3 linked regions of the Sus scrofa genome follow. The protein of the gene in region 3 interacts with the protein of the main gene of each other region in a pairwise test. Links are inferred from orthologs where the notes say so. Each region holds a gene or a part of one and is shown on either strand. Other genes may lie near its edges.

Region 1 (4,042 bases), on a different chromosome or scaffold from region 3:
CCCCATGGCCCGCAGAATCCGGTCCAGGATGGGCTGGGAACAGGTGGAGCACTTCTCCAGGGTGGCCTGTCAGGAAGGAGAGCAGGAAGGTCAGGGCTGGGGTGACCCATGGCAGCCCTTACAGGCATCCTGCCAGCTCCCCCACCTATTTATGTAGCCCCCTGCATGTGATTCAGTTAAAGGTGGCCTTGAACAGGTATGCGTGCAAATCCTAGCACTGCAGCTTCCCCAGACAAGATATTTAAGCTCTCAGACCTTCAGTTTCCTTCAGGAGTAACAGCTGCCTCACCAGGGCATTGTGGGGATTCAGCACATTCCCCTAAACCGAAAATAAATGCCTCACTCTTACAGGGGAATGTTGTCCTTTCTCTCCAGCAACCAGTATACAGCTACTTATTTCATCCATGCCTTTTTCTTTATTAGTTTTAGTTCTCCTGCTTCGAGCCTTATTCTTTGGGGCTTGGACACCTAGTTCCCACTCTGGATGGAAGCCCCCTGCTTCCTGCTGCTGACTCCATCTGCCACCACCCCCCGCCAGCCCCCACCACTCACCACATAGCAGCTCTCACAATACGCTCTCCTCTCCACGGCATAGAAATGCTGGCCCCGGAGATGGGCCCGGCACGTAGAACAGACAAAGCAGCCAACGTGAAAGACACGGTCCAGGGCCACAACCCCGGCCCCATCCCCAACCACATCTTCTCCGCAGCCACCACACCGGCCTGGGGACGGGATGGGTCAGGGTCAACCATAGACTGGGAAGCCAGACCCACTGTCTACCTGACCTCCCCCCACCCCCTGCCCGGGGTGTGTGGCGGGGGGCAGCTCACCGAAGTACTCCCCACTGGGCGGGTGGTTCATGTCCTGCACCAGCTTCTTGGTCAGCCTCTCAAGTTCCTCCTCGGGAGGCTGGCTCAGGGGGACCTGGGAGGTGAGAATCAGGGGTTCAATCCTACCTCTCCCTCCCAATACTGTCACCGAGAGTGATCAGGCAATTCCACCCAAAAGCTCACAGGAGAACACCCCAGCCCAGGGGCCAGGGGTGTGCCTCTGGGAGCCAGTGTGCAGATCTAGTCCCCTCCCTCCTTTATTTCCTGACCTGCCCCCCGCCCCCAGGGAATCCAGAGCTTGAAAACTGGAACATCAACCCCCACCCCCACCCCACCCAGTCAGCATCCAACTGTCTTTGAGGACCCCAAATCCCAGGGCCCAGGGCTTACCTGGGGCCCGTACCCGCCTCCTCTTCCTCCCGGAGGGCCGGAGACTCCGGCAGCCTCCTCTTTACCCCCTGGCCCTGGCTCACGGTGGCTCCTGTAGCCAGCCCCCCAGACTTCACCTCGGCCTGGGAGAGGAAAGTGGGGGCCGGGGAGGGGCCCCGAGGCCTGAGGGGCCCCCCGCCTGGGGGGGCCACAGCCTCTCACTGGTTGTGCCACCTTCACTTGCACAGGGAAGGCAGGGCCGGCGGGGGTGCTGGCCGTAGCATAGGAGGCCGGCGTGGGGCCGCCATAGGAGGCCGCTGGGAGTGGTGTGGGAGGAACACTCCCTCCATTCGGCTTCAGGGAGCCAGGGCCTGAGCGGTAGGCAGGGAGCTGATGGGGCTCATAAGCCTGGAGAGAAGCACAGACCAGAAGGCATGAGCTGGGCCCAATCCAGAACACACATCTGTGGAACCCCTGAACCCTGTGTCTGTGGCACCCAGGTAAGCACTGGTTTTGACAAGGGCCCGTCCTTGAGTGGCTGGCAACCTAGTACGTTTTGGTGGCCCAGCTTCCTCCTCGCTGGTGGGTGCATCCCCCATGTGGAGGGAGAAGAGGAGTGAGAATACAGAGCAGGAACCAGGTTGCGGGGGAGGGGTGGGGGACAAGGACAGGGAGGGACAGGAGCGGGGAGTCACCTGCCGGTCAGGCCGCCGTGGGGCGTGACCCCGACCCCCGTCCAACTCAGCCAACATGCTGGTCAGGGAATCTATCTCAGCATCCAGACTTCCTGGGCGCAAGGCCCCCCTGTCCGGGGGGAGCCCCTGGAGATAGAGCAAAAGCAGGGAGAATGCAACTCATATGGCCTCTTCTCCTGCCCTAAGTCCCCCCCACACCCCCTAATCGCGGTGCTCACCTGTGAGCGTTGGGGTGCTCCATGGCACCCCACCCAGGCCAGGCCCGGATCCTCCGGTCCCCCAGGGGCCTGGTAACACTGCTCAGATGGGAGGGGGCAAAAATTGACCCTGGGGTGGGACTGGAGTGCTGGGGTGAGGGAAGAGAGAGCCAAGGTGGGGATGGGGAAGGAGAGGAGGGTGACACTTGTGGAGGCCACCGGTCTTGGGTCCCTCTTCACCCCTCTCCCCCCGCATCTGGGGTCCGAGAATGGGGCAGGAGGCAGTGAGGGCTGGGAGAGGGCGAGGGCGGGGGCGCGGCGGGTTCCAGCCGGGCTTGGGGAAGGGGCGACAGGGGCAGGCTCAGCGGGAGGCAAGAGCAGCAGGGCAGAGTTGAGTGTTGGTGGCCCGGTGGCCTCCGCACCGCACTGGGGCTGCCTTACCTGCTCCGTGGGCTGGCGGCGGCCCGGAGGCGCCTCGGGGGAGCGCTCTCCCCTGAGGGGCTCTGGCGGGCTCCGGCTGCTTCGGGGGGAGCCAGGTGGGCCCGGACATGGTCTGGAATGGGGGACTCCAGACAGCGGTCAGGGCCCCACGGAGCCCAGGGCTCTGACTTTGACCCCTTCTTCCCCCCGACACCTCGCTTGGGACTCCAGGACAGAAACTTTTTCTGGCTTTTTTTTTTCCCCTTCCTCCCCAATTTTGGGGACGGCCACGCCCCCGATGACGTCATCGCATTCCTGGGGGAGGGTCACGTGGCCCCCTAGGCCCTAAACTGCCGTCCCTCCCCTAGTCGGCCCCCTCCTGCGAGCCGGGGCGGCTTTCCTCCAGAGCGTGGGCCCGGGGGGTGGGGGTGGGAGGCTCAGGCAGCCTCCTTTAACACGGGGCTCTTGTGCCCCAAGTCCGCACGTGGCCCCCTTGCGCTGGGATGCTCCAGTGCCCCTCCCCGCATACAGATTCGTCCCGCATTCTGTCCCCCCTACCGGCTCCCTCCAGAAACGCTCGGCCAGCACCTAGTGTTTTGGTCTTTTATTCACATTCAGCAGTTAGAAAAATAAAACGGAACAAAAACATCACAACCTCAAGGGTGAGGAGTCTACTGGGCAAGGGGCGGGGAGACTGAGGTAGCCTAGAGTCACAAGCGGAGACCCAGCCCCGTCAAGGCACCAGTGAAGGGAGGGAGGCCAGCGTGGGGGAGGGCTGCTGACTTCTCGCCAGTGGTGGCCGCCGGCTCAGCTGCCCTGGGCACAGCGAGGACCCTCTCCCAAAGACCAGGTTCCCCTAATACCTCCACCAGGGTCCGAGTCCCAAGTACAAGGAGGGCAAGAGGCAGCACCTCCCCTCCTCAACCCGCCAAGCAAAGTGGGCCACTCGACCTGGACACTCTCTACTAGGAACCGGCATCAGAGATCAGTGCAAGTGACAGGGGTGATGCCATGAATGAGCAGCGTGGGGCCCAGGTCATGGCTCAGAATTTCCAGCAGCGCCAGGTAGCGAGGGTAGCGAGAGGGATCAGCAGGCGGCCGAGGCAGGTACAAGAACGTGAGGGCGGTGGTGGGCCCTTCCTCGCCATCCCCACCCTCAGGCCCACCAGGCCCTCCTCCTCTGCCGCGCCCCTGCTGGGCCCGAACCAGGGCGTTGGCGCTGCGTGCCAGGGCCTCTGCCTCTGCGTCTCCGCGCCTGCCATTCACAAAGTCCCCCTCCTCCTCCTCCTCAGGCTCCTCGGACCCAGCCCCCTCACCCCACACAACCTCCTGCACCTCTGCCCGGATCCTCAGCTGGCTCAGCAGTGCCCGGAGCCGCCCCTCGGCTGCCCCTGGGGCCTCCCGAGGCCCCAGGCACAAGAAGATCCGGAGGCGGGCAGTGTGCCAAGCAGGCACCATGCCCAAGATGGTGGCCATCTGCAGCAGGAAGAGGCCGCAGACGTCCACGTAGCCAGGTCCACCCCGGGGCCGC
Region 2 (4,234 bases), about 57 Mb from region 3:
GCTAATCCACCAGAGCAAAATGTTTCAGGCCAGGCAGTGTGCGGTGTGGTTATAAGTATACCCTTTTTTCTTTTTTTTTCTTTTTTTCTTTTTTTTTAGAAAAATAAAACTCTTGATTTTGTACAAATGTACAAGTCCATGGTCTTTTAGACACTTTCCAAAGCTCATAACGTCAGGCGCTGGCCTCCAAGCACGCAGTCGTCATAGGGCAGCTAAAAGGGGAAAGAAAGGCATGTTAAACTTCCAGAACTTTGCCAAAGGTGCTGGGGTGATGGCAAGGGCTGCTACTGGAAATAACGCAAGTATTCTTGGACTCCGTTCCCTCTAACCCGAATCTGAATTAACTTCCTGGGCTGAAGTTTTCCTTTAAGGATCCTCTCCTTCAAAAAGAGCAAAAAAGCAAAAGAAAACCCCAGACCATAATCCTCCCCCTAAACCTACTCTTAGGACACTGCTTATGCTCCCTAATTTGAGATCCTCATTATGTTGAGACCCTCAGGAAAAGGAGGAGCTCTAGGGGTCCGAGAGCATTGCTTTTTGCAGACCCGTGAACAAGGTCATTGGGACTCACCTCATCCTCTGTGAACTCTGACTCCGTGTCATAGCTCTCCTCATCCTCGCTCTCTGGAAGCATCTGGAGGTTTTCTAGGGTCAGCTGGCCCAGCTGCTGCTGTATCCGAGTGCTTGGGCGGCCCCAGGTGAGCTGGTACGGGGAGTAGCCCTGGTAGGTGACTCTGTTGACATCAGCCCCACACTTCAACAAGAGCGACACCAGGTCGGGATTCTGCAGGTCCACCGCAAGATGCAGGGCGGTTCGGCCATTGCAGGGCTCCTGAAACCAAAAGGAATTTGAGATGCTTATGGCTGAGTCTGAGGTTTCTGCTAGCAGCAAGAGCATGTGATCTTATTGAGGGCTGAATGCCCTCCATCTGTAGGCTTGAAGCACCCACCTGAGCGTTGACATCAGCACCCAAAGACACCAACAGCTCCACAATGCCCAGGTAGCCATGGATCGAGGCTAAGTGCAGACATGTGTGGCCTAGAGTACCAAAAGTAACAAAATATAAGCACTTGTTGCCACCCTCACTTCTCAGAACTTTCACCTATTCTTTTAAGGGAGGAGGTCTTCTGAATTTGAAGAACCCAGACTCTGGGTTCTGAATGGACTTTAGTAAGGCATCAAATGCATACATGTTTTACTAAGACCTTGATGCATACATGTTTTCTCAGCCTTTCACGTGTTGAGAGTTTACACCTTGCCTTAAGTCGGCCCACCTCTCCCTTGTCTGTGTCACGTGCCCTCTGATGCATAGGGCAGCCAGACTTACCATTGTAGTTGGTGGCCTGCAGAATGGAGTGGAGGTGCTGGGTCCCGCGGGGCTGAGTCAGGACTCCCACACTGGCCAGGCAGCCCTGCTCACAGGCAAGGTGTAGAGGGGTATTTCCTCGAAAGTCTCGGAGCTCAGGATCACAGCCAGCTTCCAGAAGTGCCTCAGCGATTTCTGGCTGGTTGGTGATCACCGCCAAGTGGAGTGGAGTCTACCAACAGAAGAGGGACAGAAAGGATAAGCCATGGATCAAACCCACAATCCATGTTCCCCTTGAACCCTAGAGATATCCTGGTTGTGCGTGCCGCTCCTCCCAGACAGATACAAGGGGTTAAGGAAACAGACGGGAGACCCCAGGTGGGCTTCATAAAAGCCTCACCAAATCAATGGGATTTTTCCTTCCTCTCTAGGATGTTGGCTGATTCAGATGTAAAAGCTCAGGGCGGATCATGACTAGGGGCAGTTAATTGGGAAATCATTGGAAATAACTGTGCTAGATCCAGCTCCATCAAGGGGTCAGAGAGGCAGAACCCAAGAGGCACGGGGCGGGCAAGCAGCGCACCTGCTGCAGGTTGTTCTGGAAGTTAAGAAAAGCCAGATCTCCCTTCACTTGGCGGACCACTTCCATGGTCAGTGCCTTCTCTTCATGGATGATGGCCAAGTGCAGGAACCTGAGGGGAAGAGAGGGAAAACCCCCAGGGCTGGTGAGTGCACTGCGTGGGGCCCAGGGAGGCACAGCCCGCAGGGGATTGCGCAAGCCCGGGGTTTCTGGAGGCCGAGGCCGCGGTGTTTTCCGCGAGGTTATTATGAGCTGAGTGTTCCTGGCAGGCACCCAGGGACTTTCCGCCCCCCCCCCCTCCCCAGGCGGCGGGCGCCGGCCAGACCGCCCCGCCCTCCCGCCGGGCCGGAACGCCCTGTACTTCCCCTCCCGCCCGCCAGCGGGGCAGAAACTCCCGCCCCCCCTTATGCAAGCGGGGACTTCGCGTCCCCGTGGCCGCCCCGCCCCCGGCCGAGGGGACCCGCAAAGGTGGGTGAGGGGTGGGAGGTGTGCACGGCTGCAAGGTAGAGCCGCGGGACCACGGCCCCAATCCCCGATCCCCGGCTCCCACGCGCAACCGTGCACCTTTGCACAGCCTCGGGGTCCGTGCACGAACCCCGATTCGCGGCCGCAGCGCGGGCCCCGCACCTCCGGCTGCAGGCCCAGCGCCCCCACCCGGCCCCGCCACCCGGGCCCGCGACACTTACGAGTCTCCGTCCTCGGTGAGCTGCTGCTTCCAGGGCTCGGCGCCGCGGGGCGCCTCCTGCGGCTCGAGGCGGATCTCGCGCAGCTCCTTCACCATCTGCTCGTACTCCTCGTCCTTCATGGAGTCCAGGCCGCTGTCGTGGCGGTCATCCAGTAGCCGCTCCTTCTTGAGCGCGTCCCGGGGCCCCTCCATGGCCCACTCCTGGCCGGGCTCTGCGGGCTGGAACATGGCGCGATGAGGGCTTGGGCGCTGCTCCCTAGGTGCGCGGGCCACAGGCTGCGCGGCGCGCTGGCTGCTCGCGGTGGCTCGGGCGGGCGGGACGATGGCCTCGGACTGTTGTGGGCTCGGCAGCGCCGCCGCGGCGCCCTATAAACGCTGGCAGGGGATTTCTCCTGGGCGGGGTCAAGCTCGGGGAATTTCCAAGCCAGTCAGACCAGAAAAGAGAACTGGCCTCGTCCTCTGCTGGGGGAAAAAGAAGCCTAAACCCCGCGCCCGGGTTCATCAGAGAAACTCCCTGCGATGAGCCACTGGGGTCATGTACAGGGAACTTTTTAATGCACGCTGAGTGGCTGGAAAGTCCTCCCGACCCGGCCCCCTCCCCCGGTACTTCCCTGCAGCCTGCAGTCAGTAATCCTGGCCCTCTGCATGGAACCTTATTTTCCCTGGGGTTTCCCACGATCGATTTGATTTGGGGTCGTCGGCTGCTAAGATCCCAAGGATGGAGAACTGCTGGTTTGCTGACCTGCCGATGCTTTCCTTTTTTTTTTTTTTTTTTTTTTTTAATCTCTTGAAAATGGGAGTGGAAATGTTGGCTGGATCTAGGGATTCACTTCCCTAAACTCCTGGGGAAGGACACACTGAGGGTGGAAGGTCGCCGGCTGCCTCTGCGTTCCTACCAAAGACCAGGCTCCTGGCAGTGCAGGGACATAAACCTCCCCCTCCCTCAAGCCCCCCTCAGGTAGAAGTCGTGAAAGCTTTAGCATTAACAGCGTAAATGCTTAGAGAACCCTCAAATCATTTCCTCGGTATGAACAGTCCTGTTGACTGGGGGAGGAGCAAGCACTCTGCCCTGGATGCTGGAAAATGCTGGATATGACTGGGCTATTTTTCAGGGAAAGCAAGGTGTTAATTTTTATAGCAAAGGTTGTAGATACTTTGCAGTGACAAAATAATTACTGAGGTCGTGTTCCTCCATTTGCACTGTGCTGCTGCAGAGAACCTACTTGTGGGGGCCGCTTTCTAGAAGCATTTGGAGAAGGTGGCTAAAGAATGGGTTGAGTAGTATTTTACCCAAGATTGGGCCTTAAAGATGGCTAAGAAAGTAGTTGCCAGGCATACTGCAGGAGGCTCAGGGCAGCCCCAAGGTGGCCTTCATCCTGCCCCTGCTGGCTTCTTGGGGGACAAAGGAGGGGGCAGCAGTTGGACCTGTCCATGCCATATGGGTAGCTACTCCAGGTTCACCATGTCCAGGTCTCAGCTGCAGAAACAGAAGTATGCTCTCTGCCCCATCCCCACCTCCTAGCCAATGAAAGGAATGCATTCATCTACTTCTAGAAATGGTCCAGGCCCTAATAAAGCAACTTGGATCAGACTTTTTCAGAAGGCACCCCAGGAAGCTTTTATAGTTTTGCAGAGATTTCTCGTGATTGTTGCAATCATCTT
Region 3 (4,012 bases):
TATATTCAAGGTATTACTCAAGTACTTTATAAGTCTCAGGATCCCTGAGTGAAAGAGCAGACCAAACAGTAAAAATGATTTGTTGTTATGAACCTCTTGTTTTCATCATATACGGTTTTCTTGTAAATACTTCTTGATGTCCATTTCAGAATGAATTGAGCAATTCCCTTTGATTCTAAAACCACACGACAAGTGACATCCCTACGATGATGGCAGAAATCACCCTACCCTTCACGTAAAGGCACAGGCATTCTGGTGAAGAGGAGCTCTGTTCCAGATATTTGCGTTTGGTAATGTTCACAAATTCCAGGATTCTCTTCTAACGCAAACACACTGAAGTGGTGCAAAATGAAAAAATAAATGGCTCTCAATTTTACTCAAAAATCCAGATGTATAGTATTGATAAACAGCCATACTTCAACTCTCTCTATTAGGAGTGGCAAAATACGCTACCATTTAATTCAGTGACAAAGAAAGAAACACAGAAAAAGAAAACCCAATGCCTATAAAAACAGACATCTAAAAATTTAATGATTTAAAAATAGTCTCTACATACAATATAGGAAAGAGAGTAATACATATCGAACATTTTGGTTTTGAAAATGTGAAATGTCACCACTTAGCTTAGAATAAGTCCGTCATTTCCCAAGAAATACACATTATACAATGAAATTTACAAGGACATTTTCAACCACTTCCTTGATTTTCAGCAAACCCCCTTCCTCTGGCTGCACACACTTGTCCTATAACGACTTCTTTGGGCAGAGCAGGATTGAGAGCTGCAACAGTGGTTGTTTTGAAAAGCACCTTCTATGATAAGTATCACCGATTTTTTTTTTTTTAAATCTCACTTAGATCACACATCCCTCTCTCCTAAATCCCTTCCTGTGCCAATGATTTGGCTATTTAAAACAGGGAAGCTTAATTAAGTCAAGGCATATATTGCAAACCAAAACATTTTCAAATTGGCTGGACCAGGACCATTAAATAGAAACAGGACTGATAAACCACTGATGATCCTCTTCCTGACTTAGGGATATGCGAATATATCATTTGTCCCATGATGAATCCGGTGGCTTGTGGGGTGTTTGCGCGCTGCCAACCCCCAGCACGTACGCAAGGACGCAAGGACAGACGGCGGAATGGATGCTGTGACGAGCTTGGAGACAGGGTCATTGGCCAGACAGCTGTAAAGCCTGGATGGGTTCCATACAGCTGTTCTGAGTGTCGAGTCTGCACATGCACATTTTATGGAGGGTAGAGGATCAAGCACTGGTTCCCTTAGAGCAGGATGTGGCCTGGTGGCTCTGACGTTCAGGTGGCCAGCTTCCCTCGGCTGATGGGGGTAGTAGCACCTAAGGGAATGTCACGAGTCAGAAAGGTGTCCACCGACAACTGGCAGATGGGAGCATCCTTCTTTTTGTGGACGTGTCTTTGTGAATTCCTGCTGCAAATCATGATTTTTACAAATCTAAAAACATCTTCTGGAAAATCTGGCCCAATCACTCCCGAAGGCCGATGAGCAAAAAGCCCCGGGGAAACACGTGCTCTCCTTTTACTGGGACAGCATCCTGTCCGTGCTGACACCTCCCAGCCCTAACTGCGGACGTGGCCTCTAAATACATGCGTCACTCCTTCAGCACTGAACACATCAGAGTTTGGATTAGCATATACTCACTGCAACGTCCCCTCTCAGAGGGCTTTTTCAGCCAGACATGAGGCATCTTGCCATAATGTGCCCAAGACGGCCAAATTAGGAAGGGGTTTCAAAAACAGAAACAAGGCATCCCATGCCACCTTACTGGAAAGTGAACACCTGCAGATATGTGTCCCAGACCGGGGAGTGACAGGCTCAGAATAATCACGAGTACATGTAGCAATTACAATCAGCTGGTATGTTTCATAGAAAAAGAAAAAAAAAAAAAAAGCAGCATTGGGAGGTGCCTCCCAAGGTGCGTCTTACTTCTGGTTTTTAATGGAATGTATGAGACAAACGGACACGAAGACACAGTCCTACCCACGCACGCAGACGAGATTCTGTACACTCTCCAACTCAGATGCTCAGGTGTGTGCATAAGCAAAGAAAAGAAAGTCTCCCCGGGAGCTCCCTGAATTTCTGAATATTGGCTAACCCACAGAATGTTAACAAAAGTTCATTTTCGTATCAAATATCTACAAAAATAGAGACGCTTTACCAAAACCAGAGCCCGCGTCCAGGTGTCCGCGGCGGCCCGCTGCCCCCCGGGCCGTCTCAGAACGTGGCCATCTCCAGCAGCGAGCGCTTGAAGAGCTGCGCGTGGCGGGACAGGTCGGTCACGTGGTGGACCATCTCCTGCAGCGCCGGGGTGCTGGGGTAGTGCAGCGCGGCCGTCTTGGTGGCCAACACGATCGTCTTGAGCTGCTCGCAGAGCTGGTTGCTGGAGTTCATGACTTTGTTGCGGATGTCCTGGGCGGCCACCTGCCGCGTCAGCGTGTCCCCGATGAACACCAGTTTGTGCGCGCTGAGGATAACGAACTTGCTGTGCGCCACGAAGATGCGCGGCGGCTGCGCGGAGCTGACGCAGCTGAAGAGCGCGTCGATGGCGTTGAGCAGCGAGATGTAGTGGGTCTCGCACTGGTCGTAGTAGAAGCACAGCAGCTGCCTGTCCTGGGCGCCCGCGCCGCTGCTGGCGGTGGGGAGGCTCTGGGAGGGCTTCCACTTGGACATGTCGTTCTCCACGGGCTTGGTGATTTCTTGTTCCAGCAGCTGGAACTGACTCAGCTGCAGGGAGGAAAAGAGCAGACGGCCTTCAGGCTGCGGCAGGGGGCTGGCATGGACACGCAGCAGGGCTCCCCGTTAAAAGGCAGGGATTTGCATCCCTGCGCAGAGTCAGGGGCCTATTCGATGCTAAGCCGGGTCTAGCTGCCCTGCATTCCTAACCTGTGAAAAGTAGCCGTGGAGGGAGGTCCCATGGCCAGCAGCAGACACGAATCCCACTGGTAGCCATGAGGAGGCGGGTTCGATCCCTGGCCTCGCTCAGTGGGTTAAAGATCCAGCGTTGCCATGAGCTGTGGTGTAGGTCGCAGACATGGCTCAGATCTGGCGTGGCTGTGACTGTGGCCTAGGCTGGCAGCTCTAGCTCCAATTCGACTGGTAGCCTGGGAACCTCCATATGCTGCAGGTGTGGCCCTCAAAATAAATAATAAAAATAAATAAGTAAGTAAATAAAAGGCAGAGGTGAGAAAGATGATCCCTAAGGAATCTGTGGGTTCTGACGTCTGTGGTTGGATGGTTGATCTCTCCTGCCCTCAGCCTGGAAGGCAGCCCAGGGTTTAAGCCCAGCTATTTTACCTACACCTTTACGATGGTTAAAAGAGTTAATAGTTGCCAAGTGCTTAGAGCAGTGTCGGGTGTGATGCAGGCTCTATGAAAAGCTTTATCAAGCACTGAGTGGGGGCAGGGGAAAGCAAATGCGGGGATCTCTTTGTCAGGTCACTCGCTGACGGGTGACTCCTTCTGGAGGAAAGTCTTGACTTTGTCCCTGCAAGACACTTGGACAAAGGACCGATCCTGTCTCCTACTCTTTCTGTCCAGATTTATACATGTTATTATCCAGCAGTACAGGGAAGACATGCATATAAATATATGTACACTATGGAAAAGAATATCTCTAAGGGAATCTGAATGCTGACTGTATCGTAACACTTAGCACCCTCCACCCCGAGCTGTCAAAAGGGAAAAAAACCTCACTGAGTCAGGCTCTCTGAGTATTAGCATTCGTCCTTCTCTCTGCACTGCCCCCAGCTGGTGTGTTATTTAAATTGCAACGATAATAATTTCCAGCTATGGCACCACGTCTCTGGAGAGACTCTTCTTTTACAGGTAAGGACTAGTTAGTGACCGGAGTTTAGAACTCAGTCAGTCTTCTGCTGACGTAGGGCTGAGTCTGAGCAGCGTTAACAGCATCTCCCCCAAGAAATGCACAGCAAGCTTTTCTTTTCTGTCGACTCTGTTTTCTTAGGAATTACTGTG

What was found. The genes of interacting proteins can lie anywhere in the genome.
Region 1: the proteins of NEDD9 (region 3) and TRIP6 interact in binary tests that used the Homo sapiens proteins (3 or more experiments, as listed by UniProt). The link is inferred for Sus scrofa from reciprocal best matches to the Homo sapiens genes NEDD9 and TRIP6.
Region 2: the proteins of NEDD9 (region 3) and NFKBIA interact in binary tests that used the Homo sapiens proteins (3 or more experiments, as listed by UniProt). The two-hybrid records come from large-scale screens. The link is inferred for Sus scrofa from reciprocal best matches to the Homo sapiens genes NEDD9 and NFKBIA.

What each region holds. Positions count from the first base shown.
Region 1 is NC_010445.4:8,711,979-8,716,020, reverse strand, and holds the start of TRIP6 (thyroid receptor-interacting protein 6), read right to left. Parts: upstream 2,801-4,042; 5' UTR 2,642-2,800; coding exon 2,533-2,641; intron 2,241-2,532; coding exon 2,113-2,240; intron 2,021-2,112; coding exon 1,895-2,020; intron 1,608-1,894; coding exon 1,221-1,607; intron 925-1,220; coding exon 831-924; intron 723-830; coding exon 553-722; intron 67-552; coding exon 1-66. Other genes in the region: SLC12A9 (solute carrier family 12 member 9), read right to left, coding at 3,490-4,042. UniProt on the Homo sapiens protein: Relays signals from the cell surface to the nucleus to weaken adherens junction and promote actin cytoskeleton reorganization and cell invasiveness. Involved in lysophosphatidic acid-induced cell adhesion and migration.
Region 2 is NC_010449.5:64,506,685-64,510,918, reverse strand, and holds NFKBIA (NF-kappa-B inhibitor alpha), read right to left. Parts: upstream 2,801-4,234; coding exon 2,574-2,800; intron 2,356-2,573; exon of another isoform or gene 2,006-2,355; intron 2,000-2,005; coding exon 1,891-1,999; intron 1,540-1,890; coding exon 1,329-1,539; intron 1,040-1,328; coding exon 951-1,039; intron 833-950; coding exon 572-832; intron 213-571; coding exon 165-212; downstream 1-164. UniProt on the Homo sapiens protein: Inhibits the activity of dimeric NF-kappa-B/REL complexes by trapping REL (RELA/p65 and NFKB1/p50) dimers in the cytoplasm by masking their nuclear localization signals.
Region 3 is NC_010449.5:7,806,542-7,810,553, forward strand, and holds the end of NEDD9 (enhancer of filamentation 1), read right to left. Parts: intron 2,762-4,012; coding exon 2,252-2,761; 3' UTR 501-2,251; downstream 1-500. UniProt on the Homo sapiens protein: Scaffolding protein which plays a central coordinating role for tyrosine-kinase-based signaling related to cell adhesion. As a focal adhesion protein, plays a role in embryonic fibroblast migration.